Linked DNA regions of Anolis sagrei. The protein of the gene in region 2 purifies or fractionates together with the protein of the main gene of each other region. This does not show direct contact. Links are inferred from orthologs where the notes say so. Each region holds a gene or a part of one and is shown on either strand. Other genes may lie near its edges. The genes, in order: IFI30 and DAPK1.

Region 1 (16,304 bases), on a different chromosome or scaffold from region 2:
AATAATAATAATAATAATAATAATAATAAGAGTTGGAAGAAAGAGACCACACAAGCCATCTACTCCAACCTCCTTCTGCCTCCAGGCAGGAAAACTACAATCAAAGCACCACTACCCTGACAGATAGCCATCCAGCCTCTGCTTAATGATAAGTAATAATAATAATAATAATAATCATCATCATCATCATCAATAGAGGTGGAGGAGACCACAAAAGCGGTCTAGTCCAACCTCATTCTGCCACGCAGAAAAAGCACAATCAAAGCATCCTCCCCCACCCACCCCCCGTCCCGGCAGATGCCCATCCAGCCTCTGCTTAATGATAATAGTAATAGTAGTAATAATAATAAATAGAGTTGGTAGAGACCACACAAGCCATCTAGTCCAACCTCCTTCTGCCTTCAGGCAGGAAAAGCACAATCAAAGCACCACAACTCTGACAGATGGCCACCCAGTCTCTGCTTAATGATAAGCAATAACAACAACAATAAATAGAGTTGGAAGTGAGCACCAAAGCCATCTAGTCCATCTGCCATGTAGGAAAAGCACAATCAAAGCATCCTCCCACCCCCCGGCAGATGGCCATCCAGCCTCTGCTTAAAGATAAGTAATAGTAGTAGTAATAATAATAATAACCATCATCATCATCATAAATAGAGTCGGAAGAGACCACACAAGCAATTGAGTCTGACCCCCTTCTACCATGCAGGATCAAAACATAATCAAAGCACACACACACACCCTGACAGATGGACATCCAGCCTGTGCTTAATGATTAATATTATTATTATTATTATTAGTAGTAGTAGTAGTAGTAGTAATAATAATAATAATAATAATAATAATAAAGCTGGAAGAGACCACACAAGCAATTGAGTCCAACCCCTTTCTGCCATGCAGGAAAAGCACATTTGTCAAGCCCCGCACATCGCATGATGTGTTCTGCATACAAGTTGAATAAGCTGGGTGAGAGTATACAACCCTGCCGTATGCCTTTCCCAATCTTGAACCAGTCTGTTGTTCCATGGTCAGTTCTGACTGTTGCTACTTGGTCCTTGTACAGATTCCTCAGGAGAGAGACAAGGTGGCTTGGGATGCCCATCCCACCAAGAACTTGCCACAATTTATTATGATCCACACAGTCAAAGGCTTTAGAATGGTTAATGAAAAAGAAATAGATGTTTTTCTGAAACTCCCTGCCTTTCTCCATTATCCAGCGGATGTTGGCAATTTGGTCTCTCGTTCCTCTGCCTTTTCTAAACCCAGCTTGTCCATCTGCCAACTCTCTCTCCATGTATTGCTGGAGTCTTCCTTGCCTTGCAGGATCTTGAGCATTACCCTACTGGCATGAGAAATAAGGGCCACTGTACGGAGGTTTGAGCAGTCTTTCACATTTCCCTTTTTTTGGTATGGGGATACAAGTTGATTTTTTCCAGTCTGATGGCCATTCTTTTTTTATTTTTTTATTTTTTTCCCCAACTATAATTTTTTTAAATTTTTTTAAATTTTATTATTACTATTGTATAATACATAGAAACATTCCATCTTTGAAAATAACATTCAAAATTACTATTGTATAATACATAGAAACATTCCATCTTTGAAGATAACATTCAAAATACCAGTTTTTTCCCCAATCCCGCCACCAGCACACCCCCCCCCCCCCCACCGGGAACAAATAGATACTTTAGTTGTGTTTATTACAATTGTTCAATCATGAGAATAGTTTTGTTCAACACCGTATATTTATCTTTCCCCTTTATTCTATATATGAGGCCCTTCCATTTTGCTTTCCATGTCTTTTTGCTTTGACCCATCATATAGTAACTTTTCCTTTCGCTAATATAATCTTGAAGAAGGTAATCTGCTAAATATTTGTACCAGGTTTTTGTATCCCATTTCTTGTGGTCTTTCCAACATTAAAGCCTCAGGGCCACTGAGGCTTTAATTCCCTCTATCATATGTTTTATTATTTCCTCACTTTCCTTATATTCCTCTTTATTTTCGAATTTCTGAGTGAAAAATTTGGCCTTATTCCATTCTATCTTGATCCCTAATAGCTCCTCCATTTCTTTCCTGATTATTTCTTGGAACTTTTGGATTTTTTCACATTCCCACCACATGTGGGCATATGTTCCTATTTTACCACAGTTGTGCCAACATAATTTTGGGCACGTTTTTGTGATATGCGCCAGTTGCACAGGAGTTCTGTACCATTTTGTCAATATTTTTCGTTGCATCTGATGGCCATTCTTGTGTTTTCCATATTTGCTGGCATATGGCACGCATCACCTTGACAGCATCCTCTTCCAAGATCTTAAACAGTTCAGCTGGGATTCCGTCGTCTCCTGCTGCCTTGTTGTTAGCAATGCTTCTTAAGGCCCATCCAACCTCAGGATGTCTGGTTCTAATTCATTCACCACACTGTCAAAACTATCCTCGATATTGTTATCCTTCCTATACAGATCTTCTGTATAGTCTCGCCACCTTCTCTTGATCTCTTCAGCTTCTGTTAGGTCCCTGCCATCTTTGTTTCTTATCATACCAATTTTTGCCTGAAATTTACCTCCAATGTTTCTAATTTTCTGGAAGAGGTCTCTTGTCCTTCCTATTCTGTTGTCTTCTTCCACTTCCATGCATTGCTTGTTTAAAAATAGTTCTTTATCTCTTCTGGCTAACCTCTGGAACAGCGCATTTAATTGGGCATATCTCCCCTTATCAATGTTTCCTTTTGCTTTCCTCCTTTCTTGGGCTACTTCCAGTGTCTCAGCAGACAACCATTTTGCCTTCTTGCATACATTATATGCATACATTAACATTAAAAACATTTGACTCAACATTAAAATATACTATATACTACTCCCATTGCATTAACTACTACACCCTAACTAGAGTGGCTTCACTCTTGTGCAGGTGGTCAGGTCAAAGGTATTAACTCTGCTATCACTTAGACAATGCCAGGTAATTTCCAAATCCTGGCAGAATGTGCTGCCTGGGAGTCATATGTCTCCTTCTCTGGGGGTTTTGAAGCGTAAGGTGCATGGTCATCTGTTGGGAGGGCTCAGGTTGTGTTTTCCTGCTTGGCAAGGGGTTAGATGTGGATGGCCCTTGCGGTGTCTTTCTTCCAACTCTAGGATTCAGTTCCGAAATGGAAACCCCTCTGTTTGGCCCCAAAGTGAGCTGAACTACCCTTCTTCTATAGGGCACAGCATCTGCAGAACTGTGAGTCAGAAGGCAACTTGATCATTCTTTATTTTTAACCCGGCTTCCTTCTTCAAAAAGCGAAGTGAAAGAAAGAAGCCTTTTCTGGGCAATTAGGACAGTACCTTCCTTGCAATTCTGCAGAAATGCTGGGGAATTCCAAAGAAGGGTTTTTTCCCCTGCCATCATCGCAATAGTAATAATAATAATAATAATAATAATAATAGTAATAATTTAATAAAATAAAATAATAATCATTAAATTATTTAAAGATTGAACTGCAAAGACTCTGGCACAAACCAGTCAAGGTGGTCCCAGTGGTGATCGGCACACTGGGTGCAGTGCCTAAAGACCTTGGCCTGCACTTAAACACAATCGGCGCTGACCAAATTACCATCTGTCAGCTGCAGAAGGCCACCTTACTGGGATCTGCATGCATTATTTGCCGATACATCACACAGTCCTAGACACTTGGGAAGTGTCCGACGTGTGATCCTCTACAACAGCCAGCAGGGTGCCTGCTGTGGACTCATCTCCTGGTGTTAATAATAACAATAACAATAACAAGGTGGTCCCAGTGGTGATCGGCACACTGGGTGTAGTGCCTAAAGACCTTGGCCTGTACTTAAACACAATCGGCGCTGACGAAATTACCATCCGTCAGCTGCAAAAGACCACCCTACTGGGATCTGCACGCATTATTCGCTGATACATCACATAGTCCTAGACACTTGGGAAGTGTCCAACGTGTGATCCAATACAACAACCAGCACAGTGATCTTGTTTGCTGTGTACTGTTCTTGTTGTGTTCCACATAATAATGTAATAACAATAAATAGAATAGGAAGAGATCAGATCCCCAAGGGCCATCTAGTCCAACCCCCTTCTGCCCTCATGCAGGAAAAGCACAATCAAAGCCCTCCCAACAGATGGCCATCCAGTCTCAATAACAATAATAATAATAATAATAATAATAATGTTGGAAAAGATTCCCAAAGGCCATCCAACCCAACCCAGTCTGTCTGTCCGTCCGTGGCCATGGACTATGATTTCGGATAATGTGATTTTAAATAGTGTTTTAGAGTTTGATATGTTGGTTTTTAATGATCATTTTAAAATAGATGTTTATTTTACTATATATATATGTTTACATGCCATTGAATCATTGCCTATACATGTAAGCCACCTTGACTTCTCTACAGAGTTGAGAAGGGCAGGATATAAATAGGGTAAATAAATGAAATAAAAGAAATGTATGCCTCTATCTATCTTAAGGGATTGGATGACCCTAGGGGGTCTTTTCCTCTATCTATCTGTCTGTCCGTCCGTCCATCCGTCCGTCCAACACTACAACTAACTAACTAACTAACTAACTGTCGGTCGATCCGTCCATATATCCACCAATACATGTCTCTCTTTCTCTATCTCTCTACCTATCTACCTACCTATCCATCCACCTATGTATATATGTATCTATGTAACTACCTACCTACCTACGTATCCATCTACCTGCCTTTCTACCTGTCTGTCGGTTTATCTACCTGTTTCTTTATCTACCCACCTACGTACCTACCTATCTGTCTATCTATCTACCTACTTATCTATCTACTTATCTTTCTACCTGTTTGTCTATTATTTATTTATAATTATAGAAATTATAAATATATATAAATAATTATAATTATATACATAAATATTCATCTACCTACCTGTCTGTCTTTCTATCTACCTGCCTACTTATCTGTCTATATCTACCTATCTACGTACCTACCTATCTACTGTCTGTTTATCTATCTATCTATCTATCTACCTATCTGTCTACCTACCTACCTACCTATCTGTCTATATATCTTTCTACCTACCTACCTGTCTATATCTACCTACCTACATACCTACCTGTCTGTCTATCTATCTATCTACCTACTTACCTACTTATCTATCTATCTACTTGTATATCTGCCTATCTACGTACCTACCTAGCTACTGTCTGTTTATCTATCTATCTATCTATCTACCTACTTACCTATCTACTTATCTATCTACCTACCTACCTGTCTATCTATCTACCTACCTGTCTATATCTACTTACCTACATACCTACCTATCTACCTGTCTGTCTATCTATCTATCTATCTATCTACCTACCTACTTACCTATCTATCTACTTGTATATCTACCTACCTACATACCTACCTGTCTGTCTGTCTATCTATCTATCTATCTACCTACCTACTTACCTACTTATTTATCTATCTACTTGTATATCTGCCTATCTATGTACCTACCTATCTACTGTCTGTTTATCTATCTGTCTATCTATCTACTTACCTATCTACTTATCTATCTATCTACCTATCTACCTACCTATCTACCTGTCTATATCTACCTACCTACATACCTATCTATCTATCTATCTATCTATCTATCTACCTACCTACTTACCTATCTATCTACTTGTATATCTGCCTACCTACATACCTACCTATCTACCTACCTATTGGTCTGTCTCTGTATCTATCTACCCACTTACCTATCTACTTATCTGTCTGTCTACCCACCTACCTATCTACCTGTCTATCTACCTGTCTGTCTGTCTACCTACCGGTCTATTGGCCTGTCTATCTGCCTATCTGCCTATCTGCCTATCTATCTATCTATCTATCTATCTATCTATCTATCTGTCTGTCTGCCTGCCTGCCTACTTACTTACTTACCTACCTACCTATCTACCTATCTACCCATCCATCTATCTACATTTCTGTCTTTCTCTATTTATCTATCCACGTGTGTCTTTCTTTATCTAATTATCTATCTATCTATTCATCCATCCATCCATTCGTCAATACATGTTTATCTAAAGCAGTGGTTCTTAACCTGTTTATCCCCAGGTGTTTTGGCCTACAACTCCCAGAAATCTCAGCCAGTTTACCAGCTGTTAGGATTTCTGGGGGTTGAAGGCCAAAACATCTGGGCACCCACAGGTTGAGAAACACTGGTCTAAAGGGATGGGACTGGGTGGCCTTTGGGGGTCCTTTCCAACTCTAAGATTCCATCTCTCTGTGCCCCCATGCTGTGGCCCACATGGGGGTTCTGTGTGGGAGGTTTGGCCCAATTCTATCATTGGTAGGGTTCAGAATGCTCTATGATTGTAGGTGAACTATAAATCACAGCAACTACAACTCCCAAATGTCAAGATTCTATTTTCCCCAAACTCCACCAGTGTTCACATTTGGGCATATTGAGTATTTGTGTAGAGTTTGGTCCAGGTTCATCATTGTTTGAGTCCATAGTGATCTCTGGATGTAGGTGAACTACAACTCCAAAACCAAAGGACACTGCCCAACAAACCCTTCCAATATTTTCTGTTGGTCATGGGAGAACTGTGTACCAAGTTTGGTTCAATTCCATCGTTGGTGGGGTTCAGAATGCTCTTTAGAATCATAGAATCAAAGAGTTGGAAGAGACCTCATGGGCCATCCAGTCCAACCCCATTCTGCCAAGAAGCAGGAATATTGCATTCAAATCACCCCTGACAGATGGCCATCCAGCCTCTGTTTAAAAGCTTCCAAAGAAGGAGCCTCCACCACACTCCGGGGCAGAGAGTTCCACTGCTGAACGGCTCTCACAGTCAGGAAGTTCTTCCTCATGTTCAGATGGAATCTCCTCTCTTGTAGTTTGAAGCCATTGTTCCGCGTCCTAGTCTCCAAGGAAGCAGAAAACAAGCTTGCTCCCTCCTCCCTGTGGCTTCCTCTCACATATTTATACATGGCTATCATATCTCCTCTCAGCCTTCTCTTCTTCAGGCTAAACATGCCCAGCTCCTTAAGCCGCTCCTCATAGGGCTTGTTCTCCAGACCTTTTATCATTTTAGTCGCTCTCCTCTGGACACATTCCAGCTTGTCAATATCTCTCTTGAATTGTGGTGCCCAGAACTGGACACAATATTCCAGGTGTGGTCTAACCAAAACATTTTGATTTTACCAAAGATTTTGATTTAAAATCTTTGATTGTAGGTGAACTATAAATCCCATCAACTACAACTCCCAAATGACAGAATCAATTTTTTTGAGTGAAGGACATACATTGGGTTGTTAGGTGTCTTGTGTCCAAATTTGGTGTCAATTCATCCAGTGGTTTTTGAGTTCTGTTAATCCCACAAACGAACATTACATTTTTATGTATATAGATTATTATTATTATTGAGGCTGGATGGCCACCTGTTGGGAGTGCTTTGATTGGGCTCTTCCTGCATAATGCCAGAAGGGGTTGGACTGGAGAGGTCCCTTCCAGTTGGAGGATTCTCTCTCTGTCTCTAGACTGGAGGACTCCCCACCTTCTGGGTGCCTCTCTCCTCCTGCCTTCGGGGGTGGGACTGGCTGGCCTTGGGAGGTCCCTTCCCAGGTTCCCACTCACCTGGCAGGTGCGGGCGGTCTCCCCGTGGTGGCACCAGAGGGGCGGGGCTTGGGGGCAAGGAGGGCCCCCCAACACAGCGCCCCCCAAAAGGGACACACTGGCCGACAACACCCAGAACAGCCTCGCCAGAGCCATGAGCTCGTCCTTCTGGCCAGGGAAGAAGCCCAGGAGGGAGGTTGGGAGGGAGGAGGCTCCTTTGGGGAAGGGGGGCCGGGTTGGCTCCTCCCTCTTTCTCCCTCAGCAAGCTGTTCTCTCTCTGGTCCGCCTCCGGGAGGAGGAGGAGGAGAAGGAGGAAGCAGCCCTTCTTCCCTTTGCCCTCCCCAGCAAGGTTGGGCTAGATGACCTTCAGGGGTCCCTTCTCGCCAGCCAACTTCTTCTCCTTCCTTTCTTTTCTTTCTGTCCTTCCTTTCCCTTCCTTCCTTCCTTCTTTTACTTTCTTTCTTTCCTTCCGTTTCCTTCATTCCTTCCTCCCTTTTCCCTTCATGCCTTCATTCTTTCTTTTTCCTTAGTTCCTCCCTCCCTTTTCTTTCTTTCTTTCTTTCTTTCTTTCTTTCTTTCTTTCCTTTTCCTTCATTCCTTCCTTTCCTTCCATCTTTTTTCCTTAGTTCCTTCCTTCCTTTTCTTTCTTTCTTTCCTTCCTTTTCCTTCATTCCTTCCTTTCCTTTCTTCTTTCTTTTTTCCTTAGTTCCTTCCTCCTTTTTCTTTCTTTCTTTCCTTTCTTTTCCTTCCTTCCTTCCTTTCCCTCCTTCTTTCTTTTTTCCTTAGTTCCTTCCTACCTTTTCTTTCTTTCTTTCCTTCCTTTTCCTTCATTCCTTCCTTTCCTTCCTTCTTTCTTTTTCCTTAGTTCCTTTTCTTTCTTTCCTTCCTTTTCCTTCATTCCTTCCTTTCCCTCCTTCTTTCTTATTCTTTAGTTCCTTCCTCCCTTTTCTTTCCTTCATTCCTTCCTTTCCTTCCTTCCTTCTTTCTTTTTCATTAGTTCCTTCCTCCCTTTTTCTTTTCTTTTCTTTCTTTCCTTCCTTTCCCTTCATTCCTTCCTTTCTTTCCTTCTTTCTTTTTCCTTAGTTCCTTCCTCCCTTTTCTTTCTTTCTTTCTTTCTTTCTTTTTCCTTAGTTCCTTCCTTTTCTTTCTTTCTTTCCTTCCTTTTACTTCATTCCTTTCTTTCCTTCCTTCTTTCTTTTTCCTTAGTTCCTTCCTTTTCTTTCTTTCTTTCTTTCCTTCCTTTTCCTTCATTCCTTCCTTTCCTTTCTTCTTTTTTCTTAGTTCCTCCCTCCCTTTTCTTTCTTTCCTTCCTTTTCCTTCAGTCCTTCCTTTCCTTCCTTCTTTCTTTTTCCTTAGCTCCTCCCTCCCTTTTCTTTCTTTCTTTCTTTCCTTCCTTCCTTTTCCTTCATTCCTTCATTTCCTTTCTTCTTTTTCCTTAGTTCCTTCCTCCCCTTTTCTTTTCTTTCTTTCCTTCCTTTTCCTTCATTCCTTTCTCTCTCTTTCTTTCTTTCCTTCTTTTTACTTAATCTCTTCTTTGTTTCACTTTCTTTCCTTGCTGCCTTTTCCTTAATTCCTTCCTTCCTTTTCTTTCTTTCCTTCTTTTTCTTTCTTTCCTTTTTCTTAATTCTTTTCTTTCCTTCCTTCCTTCTTTTTCTTTAATTCCTTCCTTCTTTTATTTCTTTCCTTCTTTTCTTCCCTTCCTTCTCTTTCTTTCCTTCTTTTTCCTTAATTCCTTCCTTCTTTTACTTTCTCTTTCCTCCCTTTCCCTTAATCCCCTCCTCCCTTTTCTTTGTTTCCTTTTCCTTCCTCCCCCTCTCCCTTCCTTTTCTTTCTTCCCTCCCCTCATTCCCTCCTTCCTTCTTCTCCCTTCCTTTTCTTTCTTTCCTTCCTTCCTTCCTTCCCTTCCTCCTTCTTTCTTTTTCCTCCCTACCTTCCTTTTCTTCTTTCTTTTTTTCTTTCTTTTCTTCCCTTCCTTCTCCTCCCTCCCTTTTCTTCCTCCTCCTTCCTTTGATTTGACCTGAAAAGGCCGCCTCCTTTTCTCCTTCTCATTCACACTAGATGTGTTCTGTCACTTTTGTGTGTCTTCCGTTGCTGCCTTTAAGACCCCTTCACCAGCCTTAGGAACACACAGAATAATAATAATAATAATAATAATAATAATAATAATAATAATAATTTTTGTGTCATGAGCTACTTGAGAAACTGCAAGTTGCTTCTGGTGTGAGAGAATTGACTGTCTGCAAGGATGTTTCCCAGGGGACGTTGCCTGGACGTTTTTCATGTTGTGTGGGAGGCTTTTCTCATGTCCTTGCATGGGGTGCTGGAGCTGACAGAGGGAGCTCCTCCACGCTCTCTCTGGATTCGAACCTCCAACCTCCCAGTCTTTTTAAAAAATATATTTTTTATTATTTTATCAATTATTACATTTATTATACATTTGTTTATAGTAGTTACATATTATTCAACACCCTCGTTAACATATAATCTTATTCTTCTGTTCCAACCTCTCAGTCTTCAGTCCTGCCAGCACAAGGGTTTAATCCATTGTGCCACTGGGGGCTCCTAATAATAATAATAATAGTAGTAATAATAATAACAATAATAATAATAATAATAGCAGAGAAACAACTGGAAAAACTGACACGATATGAGGATTTTAAAATTGAACTGCAAAGACTCTGGCACAAACCAGTCAAGGTGGTCCCAGTGGTGATCGGCACACTGGGTGCAGTGCCTAAAGACCTTGGCCTGCACTTAAACACAATCGGCGCTGACAAAATTACCATCTGCCAGCTGCAGAAGGCCACCTTACTGGGATCTGCACGCATTATTTGCTAATACATCACACAGTCCTAGACACTTGGGAAGTGTCCGACGTGTGATCCAATTCAACAGTCGGCAGAGTGTCTGCTGTGGACTCATCTTGTTGTGTTTCAAATAATAATAATAATACTACAAGGATTTAAAGATCGAAGTGCAAAGACTCTGGCACAAGCCAGTCAAGGTGGCCCCAATGGTGATCGGCACACTGGGTGCAGTGCCTCAAGACCTTGGCCTGCACTTAAAAACCATTGGTGCTGACAAAATCACCACCTGTCAGCTGCAAAAGGCCACCCTACTCGAATCTGCATACATTTTTTGCCGATATATCACATGGTCCTAGACACTTGGGAAATGTCCGATGTGTGATCAAATACAAAAACCAGCAGGGTGAGCTTGTTTGCTGTGTACTAATATTGTCATGTATCAAATAACAATAATGTTTATTTCTATCCTTTCCCCTCTCACTGAAGGGACTGGATGGCCTTTGGGGATCTCTTCCAACTCTAGATTATCATCATCATGATGCAGAGACTGGATGGCCATCTATCGGGTGCTTTGATTGTGCTTTTCATGCTTGGCAGAAAGAAGGGGGTTGGACTGGATGGCCTTTAGAGGTCTTTTCCAACTCTATGATTCTGTAGGTGTCTTTAAGAGGGAGGTTGGTTCCGTCCATAGAGTTATAGTTCACCTGATGGCAGGTGAACTATAACTCCAAGTAATTGCAACTCCCAAATATCAGGATCTGTTTTCCCTAACCTCCACCAGTGTTCAAATTTAGGCATTTTGAGTATTTCATGCCAAGTTTGATCCAGTTCCATAGTTGTTGGGTTTCTCAGATCTCTCCAGATGTAGGTGAACTACATCTCCCCTAAATCCCTGCCAATTTCTCCCAAACCCCTCCAGTATTTTCTGTTGGTCATGTGGGTTCTCTGTGCCAAGTTTCATCCAGTTCTGTAATTTGTGGGGGTCTCAGTGGTCTGTGGAGTCAGAGCTGAATCGGTTGAAGGTACATTCAAAGTTAACATTGACACGGAAATTCAACACCGCCTGAGCTCTGCGAGTGCAGCATTTTTCCGAATGAAGCAGAGTGTTTGAGGACCGGGACATCCGTAGGGAGACCAAGGTGCTTGTCTACAAAGCTATTGTCCTCCCAACCCTGCTCTATGCCTGCGAAACGTGGACTGTCTACAGACGTCACATGCAACTCCTGGAACGATTCCATCAGCGCTGCCTCCGGAAAATCTTGCAAATCTCCTAGGAAGACAAGCAGACAAATGTCAGCGTGCTGGAAGAAGGAAAGACCACCAGCATTGAAGCGATGGTCCTCCGCCATCAACTCAGCTGGACCGGCCACGTTGTCCGGATGCCCGACCACCGTCTCCCAAAGCAGTTGCTCTACTCCGAACTCAAGAACAGAAAACGTAATGTTGGTGGACAGGAAAAGAGATTGAAAGATGGGCTCAAAGCCAACCTTAAAAACTTTGGCATAGACACTGAGAACTGGGAAGCCCTTGAATGCTCCAGCTGGAGGTCAGCTGTGACCAGCAGTGCTGTAGAATTTGAAGAGGCACGAATGGAGGACGAAAGAGAGAAACGTGCCAAGAGGAAGGCGCGTCAAGCTTTAGAAAGCTTGGGGGTCATGGCTTTAGAAAGGTTGAGAACCACTGACTTAGGCGATCCCTCATTGTCAGATAGGATTGTCTTCCAAGATCGGTGTACTGGCGGTGGGTCCGTAGGCAACTGTGGAGCCCTATTCTTGACCCACATCTTCCACAGTGAAGACATTGGTTTCGAGGTGGAAGGCAGTCCCAGTAAGGGTTGACTTCACGTGCCTTCCTCTTGGCATGTTTATCCCTTTTGTCCCCCATTCGTGCCTCTTCAAATTCCACAGCACTGCTGGTCACAGCTGACCTCAAGAGTCAGGGCTTCCCAGTTCTCGCTGTCTATGTCACAGTTTTTAAGGCTGGCTTTAAGTCCATCTTTAAATCTCTTTTCCTGTCCCCCAACATGACGTTTTCCATTCTGGAGTTGGGAGTATAACAACTGCTTCGGGAGGCAGTGATCTGTGGGCATTCGTACAATGTGGCCGTCAGTCCAGTGGAGTTGATGGCATAGGAGCACCGCTCCAATGCTGGTGGTCTTTGCTTCTTCCAGAACGCTGACCTTTGTCCGCCGGTATTTTCCCCCCAAGAGATTTGCAGAGGCAACGCTGATGGAATCGTTCCAGGAGTTGCATGTGACGTCTGTAGACAGTCCACGTTTCGCAGGCATATAACAGGGTTGGGAGGACAATGGCTTTATCAACAAGTACCTTGGTCTCCCTACCGATGTCCCGATTTTTAAACACTCTCTGCTTCATTTGGAAAAATGCTGCACTTGCAGAGCTCAGGCAATGTTGTATTTCAGTTCACTTACAATCAAAGAGCGTTCTGAACCCCACCAATAATGGAATTGAACCAAACTTGGCACACAGTTCTCCCATGACCAACAGAAAATACTGGAAGGGTTTGGTGGGCAGTGTCCTTTGGTTTTGGAGTTGTAGTTCACCCACATCTAAAAATGACTGTGGACTCAAACAATGATGGATCTGGACCAAATTTGGCACGAATACTCAATATGCCAATATGTGAACACTGGTGGAGTTTGGGGAAAATGGACCTTGACATTTGGGAGTTGTAGTTGCTGGGATTTATAGTTCACCTACAATCACAGAGCATTCTGAACCTCACCAATGATAGAATTGGGCCAAACCTCCCACCCAGAACACCCATGTGGGCCACAGCAACGCATGGCAGGGGACAGCTAGTAATAATAATAATAATAATAATAATAATAATAATAATAATAATGGGTTTTCTTGATGTCCAGTGAGAGACCAAGCTTTTTGTATGTCTGCAAAGGCGTTTAGAGCGGCTTGTCGGCTTTCAGAGTTCCAAATTCCATTCCATTAGTCATTTCCTGGCCATTCTCAAAGTCCTTTCTTTATCTGCACGATTGTCCGAATGCCTGGTCCCAAATCCATGTTTTCAGTTTTTTCCTGAAGGAAAGGAGTAATTGGGTTGTTATAGGTTTTTCCGGGCTATATGGCCATGTTCTGGAGGCAATTTTTCTCCTGACGTTTCGCCTGCATCTATGGCAAGAATCCTCAGAGGTAGTGACGTCTGTTGGAAGTAGCTCACTACCTCTGCGAATGCTTGCCATAGATGCAGGCGAAACGTCAGGAGAAAAATTGCCTCCAGAACATGGCCATATAGCCCGGAAAAACCTACAACAACCCAGTGATTCCGGCCATGAAAGCCTTCGACAATACGAAAGGAGTGATGTCGCTGATCTAATTTCCCCGGAGAGCGAATTCCACAGGTGGGGGGCCACCACCGAGAAGGCCCTGCTCCTCGTCCCCGCCAACCTCACTTGTGATAGAGGCGGGGTCAAGAGCAGGGCCTCCCCAGAAGATCTTAGACGTAAAGGGAGATCCGTTCGGACAGATACACTGGGCTGGAGCCGTATAGGGTTTTGTAGGTCAAAACCAGCACTTTGAATTGTGCTCAGAACTGGATCGGCAGCCAGTGGAGCTGACATAACGGGGGTGGTATGCTCCCTGTATGACACTCCGGTGAGCAGTCTGGCTGCCTCCCGCTGGACTAGTTGGAGTTTCCGAACAGTCTTCAAAGGCAACCCCACGTAGAGCGCGTTGCAGTAATCTAATCTGATCTTCTTCTGAATGCGCACAGACTACATTATCATCAGCATACTGAAGTTCTATAACAGGTGTTTGTTGTGACCTTGGTTTTGGCTTCATTTGTAACCTTAACCCTAACCTACAATTCTCTGGGCAGGAGTGGTAATTCTTGGTTCCTTAAAAGTCTCAGATTATAATGCAATCTCTGCTGGGCCCTCTTCACCATCACAATGGCAAGTCTTCCTAAGCAATGTAGCACCCAGGGACTTAAAACTGGCCTCACGCTCCACTCGATCTCCATTTGTAACCAAAAAGTTGAATTTCTGATCTGTTCTGCATGATGGGGTTTATAAGGGGGTTTTGGAAAAGAACATCCTCATTCGGGTTGCGATCTGAACTCATATCCCAGCTCTACCAGAAACCAGGTAGGGTGCCTGCCCTTCACTGTGAAGGCTCTCTTGGGCTGTTACTCCCTACCAATGCATGTCGGAGTGCCCTGATCCATGTCAAAGGCCCCAATCCACCTCCAACCCTTGAAGCTCATGGCTCCAAACCCTTACCTTGGCCCTTGGCTATGGAAACTTGCCCAATGCCTCTTGCGCAAAGGGACCGCAAAGCGCCCACAAACCCGCAGGACGGGTTCTCCCTGACTTTGGGCAAGCCCAGCCTTGGAAAAAATTATTCTTCCCAGAACCTCTCTATCTAAACAGATGCCAAGGCCAGCCTTTGCATATTACTAATACTAATGCTAATAATAATCTATATAAATAAAAATGTAATGTTAGTTCGTGCTACCATCAGAACTCTAAAACCACTAGGGGAATTGACACCAAATTTGGACACAAGACACCTAACAGTCCAATTTATGTCCTCCACTCAAAAAAAATTGATTTTGTCATTTGGGAGTTGTAGTTGCTGGGATTTATAGTTCACCTGCAATCAAAGAGCATTCTCAACCCCACCAGTGATGGAATTGAACCAAACTTGGCACACAGAACTCCCATGATCAACAGAAAATACTGGAAGGGCTTGGTGTGCATTGACCTTGAGTTTGGGAGTTGTAGTTCACCTACATCCAGAGAGCACTGTGGACTCAAACTATGATGGATCTGGACCAAACTTGCCACAAATATTCCATATGCCCAAATATGAACACAGATGGAGTTTAAGGGAAATAGACCTTGACATTTGGGAGTTGTAGTTGCTGGGATTTATAGTACACCTACAATCAAAGAGCATTCTGAACTCCACCAATGATGGAATTGAACAAAACGTGGCACACAGAACTCCCATGACCAACAGAAAATACTGGAAGGGCTTGGTATGCATTGACCTTGAGTTTGGGAGTTGTAGTTCACTTACATCCAGAGAGTATTGTGGACTCAAACAATGGTGGAGCTGGACCAAACTTGGCACAAATATTCCATATGCCCAAATATGAACACAGATGGAGTTTGGGGGAAATAGACCTTGACATTTGGGATTTATAGTTCACCTACAATCACAGAGCATTCTGAACCCCACCAACGATAGAATTGGGCCAAACCTCCCACACAGAACCCCCATGTGGACCACAGCAACGCATGGCAGGGGACGGCTAGTAATAATAATAATAATAATAATAATAATAATAATAATAATATCGAGTTGGAAGGAACTCCCAAAAGACATCCAATCCAATCCCCTTCTACCAGGTGGGAAAAGCACAATCAAAGCACTCCAGACAGATGACCACCCAGCCTTTGCTTAATAATAATAATAGAAGAGTTGGAAGGGACCCCCAAAGGACATCCAGTCATAGAATCAAAGAAAAGAGTTGGAAGAGACCTCATGGGCCATCCAGTCCAACCCCATTCTGTCAAGAAGCAGGAATATTGCGTTCAAATCACCCCTGACAGATGGCCATCCAGCCTCTGTTTAAAAGCTTCCAAAGAAGGAGCCTCCACCACACTCCGGGGCAGGGAGTTCCACTGCTGAATGGCTCTCACAGTCAGGAAGTTCTTCCTCATGTACAGATGGAATCTCCTCTCTTGTAGTTTGACCCCTACCAGGTGGGAAAAGCACAATCAAAGCACTCCAAACAGATGAGTACCCAGGATTTGCTTAATAATAAAAGAATAGAGTTGGAAAGGACCCCCAAAGGACATCCAGTCTAGCCCTCTTCTACCAGGTGGGAAAAACATAATCAAAGCCCTCCAGACAGATGGGC
Region 2 (15,511 bases):
ACTTAAGGAAGTGAAAAGGCATTCTATGAATTGGGCCAATGAAGTAAGATGTATTATTTACATTTACATCTAAAACATAAAAGATATCTATGAGATGTGAACACTAATGTCCCTGCAATGTACTGTGGGTGCTAACAGCATGCAGTCCTTGTGCTAAGGTAATTATTTATTGTTATGGCACAGCAGCAGTATCGTACAGTATTAATACACTTAAAAGAAAACAAATACGTTTCTTTTTAGCTTCTCATGCCTCCCATGGTAAAATAACAAACCTTCAAATGGAAAAAAAACACACTGAACTCTCAAAGTATTACGAGTACAGTTCAGTTTTACCGCTTTAGCTATCAGCTTCATAAAACACTATCTACTATTTATTTAAAGACAAATAACAATTTACTATTAATTAGAATGTCATATCATAAAAATACACCTGCCCCTGAAAATGGGGGTACAAGAACATGTTGAATTTTACTGGTGAACGTATCCTTGCTAGAAAATTATGATAGCTTGTCTTCTTTGCCCAATAACAATTAGAAACTGCTGGCAAATAATAGGATTCTATACAGAATTTTGTGAGGCTGTCAACTGAATTCATGCCTAGTTAGCTTAGCTTTTGAAAGAGAATTTGCTGTTATCTTGTAACTATTGCTCTCACTTCCTTCTACTTTAAGGGCGAGTATATGCTCCCTAGTCTGCTATGCAATTAGTTGTCTAAGCAAGAAACATCTTTTCCAAGAAAATGCAAAAATGTCTCTTCAGAGAATTCACTGGACTTTTTCACCTTTTCTCTTATAACAACATTGTTGTGTGTAATGCAATATCTTTGTTGGAAATAGAAAGTCATCGCCACTGTCTTACGTATTTACAGAGGCCTCCAGATTACATTGTTGTAACTATGTCACAAGAGACTACCTTTAAAAGCTGAATGGAAACTTCAGGTAGTGAAGGCTGCATTGGTCACCCATTAACAGACATTGACTGGCAGTCCCTTATACTGTATTTGCACTGAAGTTGCTTATTGGCTGTGTGTTTCACTGCCTTCATAACCTTTAAATGGCTTGGGCCTTTTCCTTTGCATGGCCTTCACAACACAAAATTTTCTAGTAATGTCCAGCTTGGAATTTCCAGAAGCTTACCTGAATACCCATTATGAACTGGGCACTGTCCATAACAACCTCAAAGGTGTAGAACAAACTACCATAGGAACCTCAAATGAATAGATCTACCATCAGAATCTCCATGTACCAGTATCACCAGTCAGTAAGTCTGGTTTATATAGAAAAACCAACTCCCAGGATGAATAACAGAGCAAGTTTCTGGGTGTAGTAATCAGAGACTGAATTATTTCAACTTTATCCAGCTTTATCTCCATAATACACAACACAGATCCGGTGGCAATTAAGGCTGAGATGAAGAACAAGGTCACAAGTAAAACTGCCAGAGCCTATTACATCTAATAGGCAACCCAGACCTCTATCAATATACATTACATTCTTTGGGTTGTTGTAGGTTTTTCAGGCTGTATGGCCATGTTTGAGAAGCATTCTCTCCTGATGTTTTGCCCACAACCTCGCCTTACAACCTCTGAGGATGCCTGCCACAGATGCAGGCAAAACGTCAGGAGAGAATGCTTCTTGAATATGGCCATACAGCCTGAAAAACCTACAACAACCTAGTGATTCTGGCCATGAAAGCATTCAACAATGCATTACATTCTTTGCTGGGATGGAGGAAAGCTGGAGGTTAGGAGCTTGGTGTTGCATCTGACTAACCAGAGGCCTTTCACCCAAATTACTCCTCCATCCCACTGCCAGATCATGGAGGGGTGATTTGGGTGAAGGGCCTCTGATTAGTCAGATGCAACATCTAATATCAAAGGCCTGTATCTCATATTGTTTGGCTTAAGATTTAATTATTTTTATTTGTCATGTCAGAAGTAAGTTGAGGATACAATTAAAATGCATTTAAAAACACAAACAACGTTTAACAACTTGGCATTATACTAAATATTCTTTGACCAGAAGCTGGCCACTTGGAGTGCCCTTGGTGTCACTAAGAGAAGGTCCTTTATTGTGCCTGTGGCAGGGCTCAGATTGCATTGTAATAGGTGGTTTATGTATGGTTTGCTCTTCTCCACATTCACATGTCATGGGCTCCACTCCATAGCCCCATTTCTTAAGGTTCATTCTGCATCTTGTGATGCCAGAGTGCAGCCTGTTTAGCACCTTCCAAGTTGTCCACTCTGCTGTGTGCCCAGGAGAGAGTTTCTCATCCAGTCTCAGCCACTGATTGAGGTGCTGGGTTTTTGCCTGCCACTTTTGGTCTCTTGCATGCTGAGGTGTTCCTGCAAGTATCTCTGTAGATCTTAGGAAGCTGTTTCTTGATTTAAGGGGTTGGCATGCTGTCTGATATCCGAACAGAGGATGGCCCGAAGATGTCAATGCCTTGGTCCTTTCATTGCTGGCTACTACTTCCCAGCAGATGTTAGGTGTTGCGAAAGCAGCTAAACAGTGTAATGTTTCCAGTGGTGTGGGACATAGACATCCTGTGATCCTGCAGCATGAGATAAAAACTAATTATGGATAAAAGTCCTATTTGTGAAGATTTCTGAATTAGCTAAGATGGACAAACTGATAGTGCTGATCAAGGAGAAATCTTTGACTAACTTTAAGAAAAGCTGAGGTTTATTTGTTATTTTTTACACCAAAGATGGGAACAAACTTTAATTATTGGTTTTCTGATTTAGAGGAGTGTTATGAAAAGGAGAAGTGTGTATATATAGTGCTATCTAAAGGGAGCAGAAAATAAGAAGTAAAAATCAACAAACAATGAGTGTGAGGCTTGTAGATTAGTTCTAGTAGTTATATCTGTAGAATGTGTTTATAAGTGTAGGTTTGTCTTAGTTGGTGTAAGTTTAGTTTAATATATTATTAAAACTGTTTTCCTGGTATTGTTTCTGTTCCTTTTCATTTTTTTCTTTTTTGAATTCAATTTTTTAAAACGATAAAAGCCCTAAATGTCTCTTTTTTGTCAGCCACCATACAATATCTGGAACCTTCTTGCCCAAATTAGTTCAGTTAAATCAGAATATAGAGCAGATGGAACACTGCTGAGGTTCCTTTTGGTAAAAGAACACTATGAACACATGTGATTTCTGAACTTCTGTTCACCTTTGATGATATATTCTTCTGATGAGAGAACAGAGTTCACAACGAAGTTAAAAGCATCTTGTCGGCTCTGGGTTGTGTGTTCCCTTGGGGCTGTGTATAGTCTGTAATACTGTTTCAAACACAAATGCTAAGTTAGATCTGGATGGGGAAAAACATTTAGGAATATTGTAAAATCATAATATAAAATGTACCATGTACTTGACAGTTAACAAATAGAGAAAAAAAGTTGATTTGATTTTTTTTATCTTGGTAATAAAATATTAAATATAACAAATGTTGCAACATTTCTGCTTAATTAGGAATATATCTGTTTCCCAAAATGCTTCAGTTTGGTTTCCTTTCCTCACTCCTGAGTCATACCAATAGTTTCAGCTTGTTATATAAGCCAGCTGGTACTGCAAGCTACATTTAATTCTAGGCAGTTATCTTTGCTTTGTTTTGGCAATTTATATTTCAATACCATCAATATGAAACAGGTTCAGTATGGTGGGACTGTTTTCCTTAAGATAAAAAAAAACACACACACACACACTTTGACTAAAAGTTTCAAAAGTACACCATTTCCTTATATTCTTATCCTTAAGAACCTCATTGCCATTCACGAAATATCTCAAACTGAATCATTGGACTGTAAGGTGCTACAAGACTTATCGGTTTCACTGTATGGGGATTCATTAAAACCAGATTAATATTCTTTATCTTGATGAGTCCCTTATAATATGAAGATAGAAAATGGAGTTTCCTCATTGTTAACCTACCTGCCAATAGTGATTGATCATCACCAGCTTCATGCCATAGTGTCTGTTTTGAGGAACAAATGCAAAGTGCTGGGTTTCTTTTTTTTACCAAAATGTTTTCCAAACTTGGGAGAAAGTTTATTATTCTTTATCCCAGCCATTGATGTTCTAAATCAGCCTATGGCACAGTTCTATCAGCGTAACATTTGAGCTGGTTCAGCAAGTCAAAGTATGTGGGTAAGAGCTGTTTCCTTGGAGATTCTTGAAAGCTGGAACCTGAGCACATTTCAGAAGCTTTATAGGAGTTAGTAGAAGTCACTCTGAGGGGGTTAGGAATAAACCCACATTTAAATTGGATTTTAAAAAAAGCTTTTAAAACATGTTATGTATTGAGCTGTGAGATGGGCAAGTGTGCAAATCAAAACAAATATTCGTCCCTTCCATCATAATCCCATATCTACAGAACCTATATAAGCACAGGTTATATAGGTTTGGGGTTGTACTGTATTAAGAAGGATCTATGGGGAGAGGTGGGTAATAAACAAACAAATAACAATAATGATAATAACATTTATTGCATATGTTGACTACACATAAAAGTAGAGAGCAGGTTGTGGGGCCAAAATTATGGATTTTTATATGACCCGTGGGAAATCCCCATGGGTCATATAACAGCCACCGCTGCTGTTGTTTTCTAACCGAGCTATTCTAATAAGCCAGAAACAGCACAACAAAGAGAGTAGAGGATTGGTCAGATCATCGTTTCTCAACCTGGGAGTTGGGACCCCTGGGGGGTTGCAAGGGGTGTCAGAGGGGTCACCAAAGACCATCAGAAAACACATATCAGATCTTTACATTACAATTCATAACAGTAGCAAAATGACAGTTAGGAAGTAGTAACAAAAATAATTTTATGGTTGGGGGTCACCACAACATGAAGAACTGTATTAGGGGGTTGTGGCAATAGGAAGGTTGAGAAACACTGTTTTAGATTCTCCTGGGACATACTAAACTCTTGCCTTTCACCACTTTACTCAGAGAAGGAAATGGCCCTTTTGTTGATAAGGAGATATAGTACTCCCATTGATCTATGGATAAATAAGCCCTTGTTTTTTGGGTTGATATTTTGAGTAAAATTTCTAAATTTACAAGTGAACATATAATAATAATAATAATCTTTATTTATACCCCGCCACCATCTTCCCATGGGGAATCGGGGCGGCTAACATGAGGCCAAGCCCAGAAAATACAATAAAGCAAAGTAAAATACAAACAAGCAAATAATAGCATCGCAAGCGTGTCTGGAGGGGACGAGAGGCAGGGCCTTCTCAGAGGTGGCCCCTCGGCTGTGGAACTCCCTTCCTAGGGATATTAGATCAGCCCCATCCCTCCTGACCTTCAGGAAAAGAGTAAAAACTTGGCTTTTCCAACAAGTGTTTGGAAATGTAGCAAAATAAATAATTACGAAATATGAAGAATGAACACGGAATGGCTAGACAATGCTGCTGGATAATGATTTTAATAGGATAACACTGGTAATTATGTGTTTTTAATGGTTTTATATAGTTTTTTTTATAATATTAGGTTGGATGTTTTCAACTGTATTTTTATGAATATACGGCATCAGATTCTGCCAATTTTGTAAATCACCTTGAGTCGCTGTAAGGCTGTAAGTCGCTGTAAGGCTGAGAAATGCAGGTTACAAATACCATAAATAAATAAATAAATAAATAAAGCACATCTGAGTATTCCTTGGCTTAGAAAACCTTATAAAACTCAAGGACATGCCACAAGTTGACAGTCAACAAACACATCCATGTTACACCTGTTGCAGAACCAAGTCATTGGAAGATATATTTCTCTTAATATGGCAGCTCCTATGTGGCAAAGCGCCTCTTGCTTACTAGTCAGAGAGTATCAATAATTGCATTTTGTTGTATAACAAGAAACATGATACAGAAATGTTAGTGGTTTCAGCATTGGACTGCAACCCTAGAGACCAGGGGTACATCTCCACTGTCGACCGAATGCAGTTTGATATCACTTGAACTGCCATGTCTCAACACATTACTGATTCTGAGAGTGTAGTTTGGGACGTCACCAACACTCTTTGGCAGCGAAAAACTAAATACCTTATAAGACTATAGCTTCCATGATTCCAGAACACTTGAGTCATAGCAGTTCAAGTGATCACAAACTGCATGAATTCCAATGTAACTGCACTCTTGGTTTTGTTGATGAAACCCACTGTGTGAACTTAGAGATGTCACACTATCTTAACCTTAGAGGAAAGCAATGACAAACTCCATTTGAACAAATATTCCCAAGAACCCTGAGATAGGTTTTCCATAATCACTTTAGGATGGAAACAATTTGAAGGCCAACAAGAAAGGGAATAGCCCAATTCTGGTTCAAGCATGGTCCAGGGCACCTCTATACCAGGCTTGGGAAAACTTGGGCCCTCCAAGTGTTTTGGACTTCAACACCCACCATTCCTAACAACCTTGGGGCCTTTCATTTTCCTCTTCCGCCTCAGCTGTAAGGAGGTGTCAGCTGGCCTTGATTGATTCATGTCTGGAATTAAAGGTAGTAAGCAGCCAGGCTTTGAATTTGCGAGGCCATTTGCGAGGATATAGAGAGGCAACTGTATAGAATGGAGATAGGTTGGCAAAGATTCCAGTGATGCTTTTGCAGAGAAGAGACATGGAAAGAAAGTCTGTAGGATTTAATGCCTTTATTGAGTTGCTGTGAGTTTTCTGGGCTGTATGGTCATATTCCAGAAGCAATCTCTCCTGACGTTTTGGCCACATCTATGGCAGGCATCCTCAAAGGTTGTGAGATCTGTTGGAAACTAGGCAAATGGGGTTTATATATCTGTGGAATGATCAGGATGCGAGAAAGAACTCTTGTCTGCTTGAGGCAAGTGTGAATGTAAGCCACCCTGAGTCCCTTCGGGGAGATGGAGGAGGGATACAAAAATAAAGTTGTTGTTATTGGCCACCTTTGTTAGCATTGAATGACTTTGCACCTTCAAAGCCTGGCTCCTTCCTGCCTGGGGGAATCCTTTGTTGGGAGGTGTTAGCTGGCCCTGATTGATTCATGTCTGGAATTCATGGTAGGAAGCAGCCAGGCTTTGAATTTGAGAGGCCATTCAATGCTAATGAAGATGGCCAGTTGCAGCATTCACACTTGCCTCAAGCAGACAGGAGTTCTTTCAACAAAAGATTGCTCCAGGCAGTGCCAGGCCATCAAATGCTAATCAAGGTGGTCAGTTGAAACATTCACACCTAGCTCCAACAGACAAGAGTCCTTTGTCCCACCCTGGTCATTCCACAGATATATAAACCCTTTTTCCTAGTTCCAACAGACCTCACTACCTCTGAGGATGCTTGCCATAGATGCAGGCGAAACGTCAGGAGAAAATGCCTCTAGAACATGGCCATATTATTATTATTATTATTATTATTATTATTATTAACTTTATTTGTACCCCGCTAGCATCTCCCGAAGGACTCGATGCGGCTTACAAAGGCCAAGGCCACAAAACACAACACAAACAATATAACACCAAAAGCAAAATTAAAAACAGTTAAAGCAATATTAACGAATGCAATAGACAGTATATCAAGACACAATAAAAACTGGGCTGGGCCAGAGTAATGGGTACAGGATTAAAAGTGCTGATGTGGCAGGTGGTGTACGAGGATTATAGGGCAAGTGCAGTGTATGGTGTGCAATAATCTTAATTCTACTAAAAGTGCTTTGAGGACTTGTTATTGGAGATTTCCTATTCTGGAAAGGCACATCGGAACAGCCAGGTCTTCAAGTTCTTTCTAAAGACTGCCAATGTAGGGGCCTGTCTAAGATCTTTTGGGAGGGTGTTCCAGAGTCGGGGGGCCACCACAGAAAAGGCCCTGTCTCGAGTCCCCACCAGCCGCGCTTGTGACGTAGGCGGAATTATGAGCAGGGCCTCACCAGATGACCGAAGTGAACGTGTGGGTTCATAGATGCAGTTCATAGATGCGGTCACTCATATAGCCTGAAAAAACCTACAACAACACAAAGAGTTCTTTCTTCCACCCTGGAGAAAGCACCGAGGCAGGAAGCAACCAGACCTTGAAGCTGCAAGTCTATTGAATGCTAATGAAGGTGGCCAATTGCAACATTCACACTTGCCTCAAGCAGACAAGAGTTCTTTCTCCCACGCTGGACATTCCGCGGATAAATAAACCTCACTCGCCTAGTTTCCAACAGATCTCACAACCTCTGAGGGTGCCTGCCATAGATGTGGGCGAAACGTCAGGAGAGAATGCTTCTGGAGCATGTCCAGACAGCCCGGAAAACTGACCGCGACCCAATTCTGCAGTGTCTTCATCCCCAGAGCTTGTTTCCAACACGGCCATACCAACTTTGCTTCTTCTGCCAAGGCAAGGCTCGCCTCGAGGGGCCTTGCTGCGTGGCACTAGAGCCCCGGAGCCCTGGGGTCTGCCTGTCACGGCAACCCGAGAAGGGCGGCAGGCATCCATCCTGGCCGCCTCTCCTCCGGTGCCAGTGGGAGGGGAGCAAGGCGCTCGGTGCCAGCCAACCTGTGGCACGGCGGGGCGTGAGAATGCGTGCGCACCGAGCCCAACTCTGGCCTTGTCCCCTCCCTCCTCCCCTCCTGTCGTGGGCAGGTCAGGGGAAGAAGGAGGAGGAGGAGGAGGAGGACTGAGAAGGCGGCTGCTTCCCTATTGGCCGCGGGCCCGGGGTCCTCTTCCTCCTCCTCCTCCTCTTCTCAATTGCTCAGTTCTGGAGCGCAAAGGGCGCTTGGAGAGGGAGCGGAGGCCGGTGAGTGGCGACCAAAACAGGGGAAACGGTGGGGATTGGGGCGAGCTCCGGTCCCTGGAAGGGAGGCAGGAAGGGAGAGGGAAGGGGGCGGAGAGAAGGGGCGGGTTTCTTCCCCTCCCCTGCCGCTCCTGGGGCCGCCCCAAAGCGAGGAAGGAGGGCCAAGCGGGGCTGCGTGCACGGCGACTCCCTCTCCGCCCCTTGCAGCACCACCGCCTTTCAAAGGGCTGGGTGGGGGAAAGAGGGCTCCTCTCCCTTCCCCCTCTTTCGGGGGGCTTAGCCGGGCGCCAGTCTCCCCCTTTTCCGCCAGGGGAGGGGAGGGGAGGGCCTTGCGAAGGCGAAGGGGGAGGAAGAAGGAGCCTCCCCCCCCCCCCGTCCTCCTTTTACGCACGCCTCAGGTTGGCCGAGGATGCCTGCTCTTTCTCTCGCCGCCGTTCCTTGAGCCGAGAGGCGAGCCGGGTTTGTTCTTTTCCCCGCTGCTTTCCTCGGGGTGGCAAGGGCGGGAGGAGCAGCGGCGGCTCCTCCTGGTCGCACGTCCGAGTTGGCCGGGAAACGGAGGGGGAGCCGCGGAGGAATGTGCCTTCCTGCAAACGGGGGAAGCCATGGAGGCGCCGGGAAAGGTGAGGCCATTCACGGCGGAGGAGAAAGGGAGAGAGAGAATGAGAGAATGAGAGCTCCCCTTGGAGTTCAGGAGGGCCTCTTCGCCTCCCCTTGGTCTTGGACAGGCCCCGAGTCCTTCTCCTTCTCCCTTTCCAGCTGGTGGGCTTTCCAATCCAGAGCCCGGCTTTTGAGGAGGGGACACACACACACACACACAGAGCCTTTCCCTTTTACGCCGCCCAAATGAGCAGCCTGGTCCTAGAGCAGTGCTTCTCAGTGCCTCGACCCCTTCATAATGTTCCTCATGTTGTGGTGACATCCCAATCATAACATTATTTTCGTTGCTACTTCATCACTGTCATTTTGCTACTGTTATGAATCGTCATGTAAAGATCTGATGTGCAGGATGCATTTTCATTCACTGGACCAAATTTGGCACAAATACCCAATACGCCCAAATTTGAATACTGGTGGGCTTGGGTGGGGGATTGATTTCGTCATTTGGGAGTTGTAGTTGCTGGGTTTTATAGTTCACCTACAATCAAAAAGCATTTTGAACTCCACCAACGATGGAATTGAACCAAACTTTGCACGCAGAACTCCCATGATCAACAGAAAATACTGGAAGGGTTTGGTGGTGTCATTTGGGAGTTGTAGTTGCTGGGATTTATAGTTTGCCTGCAATCAAAGAGCATTTTGAATTCCATCAATGATGGAATTGAACCAAACTTGGCACACAGAACTCCCATGAGCAATAGAAAATCCTGGAAGGGTTTGGTGGGCATTGACCTTGAGTTTTGGAGTTGTAGTTCACCTATATCCCGAGAGCTCTGTGGACTTACACAATGATGGATCTGGACCAATTTTGGCACAAATACACAATACTCCCAAATGTGAACTCTGGCGAAGTTTGAGGGGAAAAGGCCTTGGCATTTGGGAGTTGTCATTGCTGGGATTTATAGTTCACCTACAATCAAAGCGCATTCTGAACCCCACCAATAATAGAATTGAGCCAAATTTTCCACACAGAACTGCCATGACCAACAGAAAATACTGTGTTTTCTGATGGTCTTTGGTGACCCCTCTGACACCCCCTTGTGACCCCCAGGTTGAGAAACACTATCCTAGAGTGAAGTTTAGCAGCCCATTGATTTGCCACTCAGCCTCAAAGGGAATCCATTAACATCCGGCATTGTGGGTCTGTTTTGACGTTTGGGCTGTGTGTGTGTGTGCTAGACATAGTGACACCACCACGCCCCTCTTGCAAACAGTGGCATTTAAATTCACCTTCTGCCTGTCTCTTCTTTTTGCAGCTCTGCCTGAAGTGCTGGGAAATCCTTCCCAAAACACAGTGAGGATGAGTTGAAAAGCAAGGACCGAGGATTGTATTTCTATCCTGAGGAGTGGCAGCTATCATGACTGTCTTCAGGCAAGAGAACCTGGATGATCACTATGATATTGGAGAGGAACTTGGCAGGTATGGGATTCGCCGGAAGGAAAGCGTGCAGTCTTTATAGGACAATGTTGTTAGGGATGGTAAACAAATAACAAATTGGTGGGCCATTGGTATCCACTGAGGTTGTTTCCGGGACTCCATGGATATGGGGTCCATGGATATGAAAAACCAATCTATAGTGTCTAGATCCAAGGAAGTCATGCAACCCCTCTATTCAGCCTTGGTCAGATTACACCTGGAATCGCACTGTGTCTAGTTCTGGGCATTGCAATTGAAGGGAGATGTTGACTCTAAGATGGAATGAGTCCAGAAGGGGGCGACTAAAATGATCAAGGTTCTGGAGAACAAGCCCTATGAGGAACGGCTTAAGGAACTGGGCATGTTTAGGCTGCAGAAGAGAAGGCTGAGAGGAGACATGGTGAGGACCATGTATAAATATGTGAGGGGGAGATGGAGGAGGGATCCAAAAATAAAGTTGTTCTTGTTATTGGCCACATTTGTTAGCACTGAATGACCTTGCATCTTCAAAGCCTGGCTCCTCCTGCCTGGGGGAATCCTTTGTTGGGAGGTGTTAGCTGGCCCTGATTGATTCATGTCTGGAATTCATGGTAGGAAGCAGCCAGGCTTTGAATGCTAATCAAGGTGGCCAGTTGCAACATTCACACTTGCCTCAAGCAGACAAGAGTTCTTTCTCCCACCCTGGACTTTCCACAGATATATAAACCCCACTTGCCTAGTTTGCAACACACCTCACAACCTATAAGGATGCCTGCCATAGATGTGGGTGAAATGTCTGGAGAGAATGCTTCTGGAACATGGACATACAGCTTTGAAAACCACAGCAAACCAGTGATTCCAGCCATGAAAGCCTTCAGACAACACAATGTCTTTATTGTTAGCCTGCTCCAATGAGGTACATATGTAGAGAAGTTCAAGGAATGTTCTGTATTGTCTAGGCCAGAAGTAATATGTGCTATATTATATCTGATGTTCATTATGGTTGGGTATTGAATATTACTGCCACTACTGTTAAGTGATTTCTAGGTAGGTCCCTTTCTCATTTGCCATAGATAGGTAATTACAACCTAATGCAGTTTGGTGTTTTAAAGGCTTGCGAAGCATTGTGTTGGGGATCATTATAATTGACCCTATTGTCTGTTTCATGCTGTGAGTAACTTATTATAAGCGTGGTTTGCATGGGTGGTTGTTTCTTATTTATGCACTAAGTTCTAACAGCAGCAATAGCAAATTGTTGGTGTAGGTTGAGATTGCAAATTTAGGATTAATAATTTGTTCAACTAACAATTGAATTCTAGAAAGAATTCTCTATGAATGAAGATCATTTCTGATATATATATTTCACTCAAATGAAGATCAGACTCTTTCAGAAGTATCAGAGTTCAATTATTCTGTCCAGCCAAATGTCAGATCAAGAGATTTATAGTCATTAAGCAGTGTAGGTTTAACACAGCCTTCATAAAGCTTGTTAGTTGAATACTACAGAATCCTGTGTCTGTGCCACAGCTTTGTGATGGAAAACCCAGACCATTGACTAGTGATTATAGCTTCTTTTTGCTTTTCAATCTCTGTTTAATTCCTAAATGAAGTGCGTGCTTCATAGTCTGCAGTGTGTTTGTTTCCTGTATTTTAAAACTCAGGGTTTTTGATATTTGAGATAAATGATTGCTGCATATATCCGTATTGTGTTGTCAAAGGCTTTCATAGCTGGAATCACTAGGTTGCTGTGAGTTTTTCAAACTGTATGGCCATGTTCCAGAAGCATTCTCTCCTGATGCTTCGCCCACATCTATGGCAGGCATCCTCAGAGGTTGTAAGTTCTGTGGAATGTCAAGGGTGGGAGAAAGAACTCATGTTTGTTTGAGGCAAGTGTGAATGTTGCAATTAGCAACCTTGATTAGCATTGAATCGCCTTGCAGCTTCAAAGCTTAGCTGCTTCCTGCCTGGGGAATCCTTTGTTGGGAGGTGTTAGCTGGCCCTGATTGTTTCTTGCCTGAAATTACCTTGTTTTCTGAGTGTTGTTCTTTGTTTACTGTTCTGATTTTCTAATTTTTTTAATACTGGTAGCCATACATTTTCATATTTTCCTCCTTTCTATTGAAATTGTCCCCATTCTTGTGGATTTCATTGGCATCTCTGTACAGTCTGCATTGCTTTCCTCAATATTCTATCATTTTGCCTGTTTTCACAATAATTCTAAATAGAAAATCAGATAGTGATTTTAGAATCATGGTTTGAGGTGTTTTTCTACATTGAAATTTGTGTTTGCATTAACTGTATTTTGTCAATAGAGATATTCTGGCCAATCATAGCAAAAATTGGAACTCAACAGTGAAACTTACATGCAGAAAGCAAAAAATAGCATTAATGTATCCCTAGTGGTTTGACTAAGGTGGGATGAATGGAAATTTGAAACTGGGTTCAGATTGACTCATTCTTTGTGTAGGTATGGCTTCTGCCTGATTTCGGTAATGTTCCCTTTCAATTTACTTTTGATATCTGTACATCTTGAAAGTTGTTTCATAAAAATATGGCAATGTCAACTTACTTTGGGAAAAATGTGTTTTCTGTAGGTATTCTAAGCTGAATATACCATACATACTCAATGGATAAGTCAACCTCATATATAAGATGAGGACAGGATCGGAGATAGATAAGTTGCTCATAATTCTGTGGAGGGGGAAAGCAACCATGCCACTTCAGAGGAGCAGCCACATCTGGCCATTGCTGCCATTTTCCTGATCAGACATTTAAAAAGGCCAGAATAGCACCAAAATGAAGAGGAGTAGGGGCTAGTGCTTCTTTTAAGTTATTCTGGGGATGGACGAAGTTCTTGGTAGTTCCTTTTTTGGGTTATTGTGAGTTTTCCAGGCTGTATCACCATGTTTCAGAAGCATTCTCTCCTGATGTTTCATCCACATCTATGGCAGGCATCCTGAGTGGTTATGAGGTCTGTTGGAAACTAGGCAAGTGGGGTTTATATATCTGTGGAATATCCAGTGTGGGAGAAAGAACTCTTTGTCTGCTTGAGGCAAATGTGAATGTTGGAATTGGCCACCTTGATTAGCATTGAATAGCCTGGTAACTTCAAAGCCTGCCTGCTTCCTGCCTGGGGAATTTTTTTTGTTGAGAGATGTTAGTTGGCCCTGATTGTTTCCTGTCTGGAATGCCTCCTTTTTTGAGTGTTACTTTTTTATTTATTGTCCTGATTTTAGAGGGTTTTTTTTTTAATACTGGTAGCCAGATTTTGTTCATTTTCATGGTTTCCTCCTCTCTGTTGACATTGTCCACATGCTTGTGGATTTCAATGGCTTCTCTGTGTAGTCTGATATGGTGGTTGTTAGAGTGGTCCAGCATTTCTGTGTTCCTTTTTTGATAAGAGTTAACGTACAATATTCAACTTGGATCAAGATTTTTGAGGTTGACTGTTTGACTAAAATTTCTAGACTTATAAATGTGTGTATGGGGGGGCATGGTTTAGTTAGAATATTCTGTGAAGCACTTTAACTACTCGTTGGGTTGCTCTCCCTTTATTTCTTTTAAAACCTCTTACCAGATACATCCTATCTCTGTTCATGCCTAGCGTTTATTTTTTTAAATTTTAAACTATTACATTTGGCCCAGCCATAGGTTTTTTAATCCTTGCATGTTATTGTTTATATGTGATTTATACTAATGGTGGCGGGGTATAAATAAAGATGTTGTTGTTGTTGTTGTTGTTATGAAAGAAGTTTAGCTACAGGAAGATCTGTAGCTTCAGAGCATAAGCAGAAAACCAGAACTGAATAATGACTTAACATTTGACTTGCTTTTGTATTTCTTTCTAGAGGGGATATTATAATTTTATGGCAAACTGATAGATTTCCTATCATTCAATTTAAATCTAAACATTATAATTCCGTCATACCACAGAACTGTTTGATTTCTTCAGCGCAGATTACTTCGGTGTTGATTCTTAAGGGTTTGACATTGTCACTTGGAGTTATAGAAATAAATACTAATTTAGAACACAGATCATAATTAATTCTGATGTTTTGTTAAACATGTTTAAGAAATAATCTTTCAAAATACTTCTGAGTAATAGAAGAATCCAGAATGCTAGATTCACTCAGGGTTTTTTTTCTTTTTGAATGAGCTCAGAACATGAAACCTGGCTTTTCTCTTTCCCATTTTATCCTCCACAAACAACCCTGTGATGTAGATCATACGGAGAGATAATAAATAGCTGAAGGTCACTCAGGCCCTTTCACTGCCCTATATCCTGGGATCTGATCCCATATTATCTGATATAAACTTATATGAGTCCTCACTTCCAGATATTCTGGGATAAGAAGATAATCTGGGATCAGATCCTCGGATATAGGGGCGGTGTGGAAGGGGCCTTAGTTTTCATGGTTCTTCACCAGGTTATGGTGTTGCACTTGAACCTAATGCAACAGTTCAACCATTATATTATTTATTATTATATGGCAAAATTGTTGTTTCAAAATAATGCTTCCTCCTAGCACATTGCTGCTGATTTTTCCTTTTGAGTTTACTCCAAAGACATTACTAATGGTTAACAGAAATCTTATATTCAGGGGGGAATGTGATGTAGCAAACAAGTTAGTGAGATCCTGTTGAAATCTGTATATATTAATTTGCATGGTTCATAATATAGGTTGAATATCTTTTGTACCCCAAAATTGTTCACACGAGACAGTGAA

What was found.
Region 1: the proteins of DAPK1 (region 2) and IFI30 purify together in Homo sapiens (affinity purification with mass spectrometry; 3 studies listed by BioGRID and IntAct, counting the BioPlex papers as one, with this or other methods). This does not show direct contact. The link is inferred for Anolis sagrei from reciprocal best matches to the Homo sapiens genes DAPK1 and IFI30.

Annotation. Positions count from the first base shown.
Region 1 is NC_090034.1:59,103,556-59,119,859, reverse strand, and holds the start of IFI30 (gamma-interferon-inducible lysosomal thiol reductase), read right to left. Parts: upstream 7,797-16,304; 5' UTR 7,750-7,796; coding exon 7,615-7,749; intron 1-7,614. UniProt on the Homo sapiens protein: Lysosomal thiol reductase that can reduce protein disulfide bonds. May facilitate the complete unfolding of proteins destined for lysosomal degradation. Plays an important role in antigen processing.
Region 2 is NC_090022.1:230,171,500-230,187,010, forward strand, and holds the start of DAPK1 (death-associated protein kinase 1), read left to right. Parts: upstream 1-8,605; 5' UTR 8,606-8,734; intron 8,735-8,867; exon of another isoform or gene 8,868-9,351; intron 9,352-10,644; 5' UTR 10,645-10,746; coding exon 10,747-10,808; intron 10,809-15,511. UniProt on the Homo sapiens protein: Calcium/calmodulin-dependent serine/threonine kinase involved in multiple cellular signaling pathways that trigger cell survival, apoptosis, and autophagy.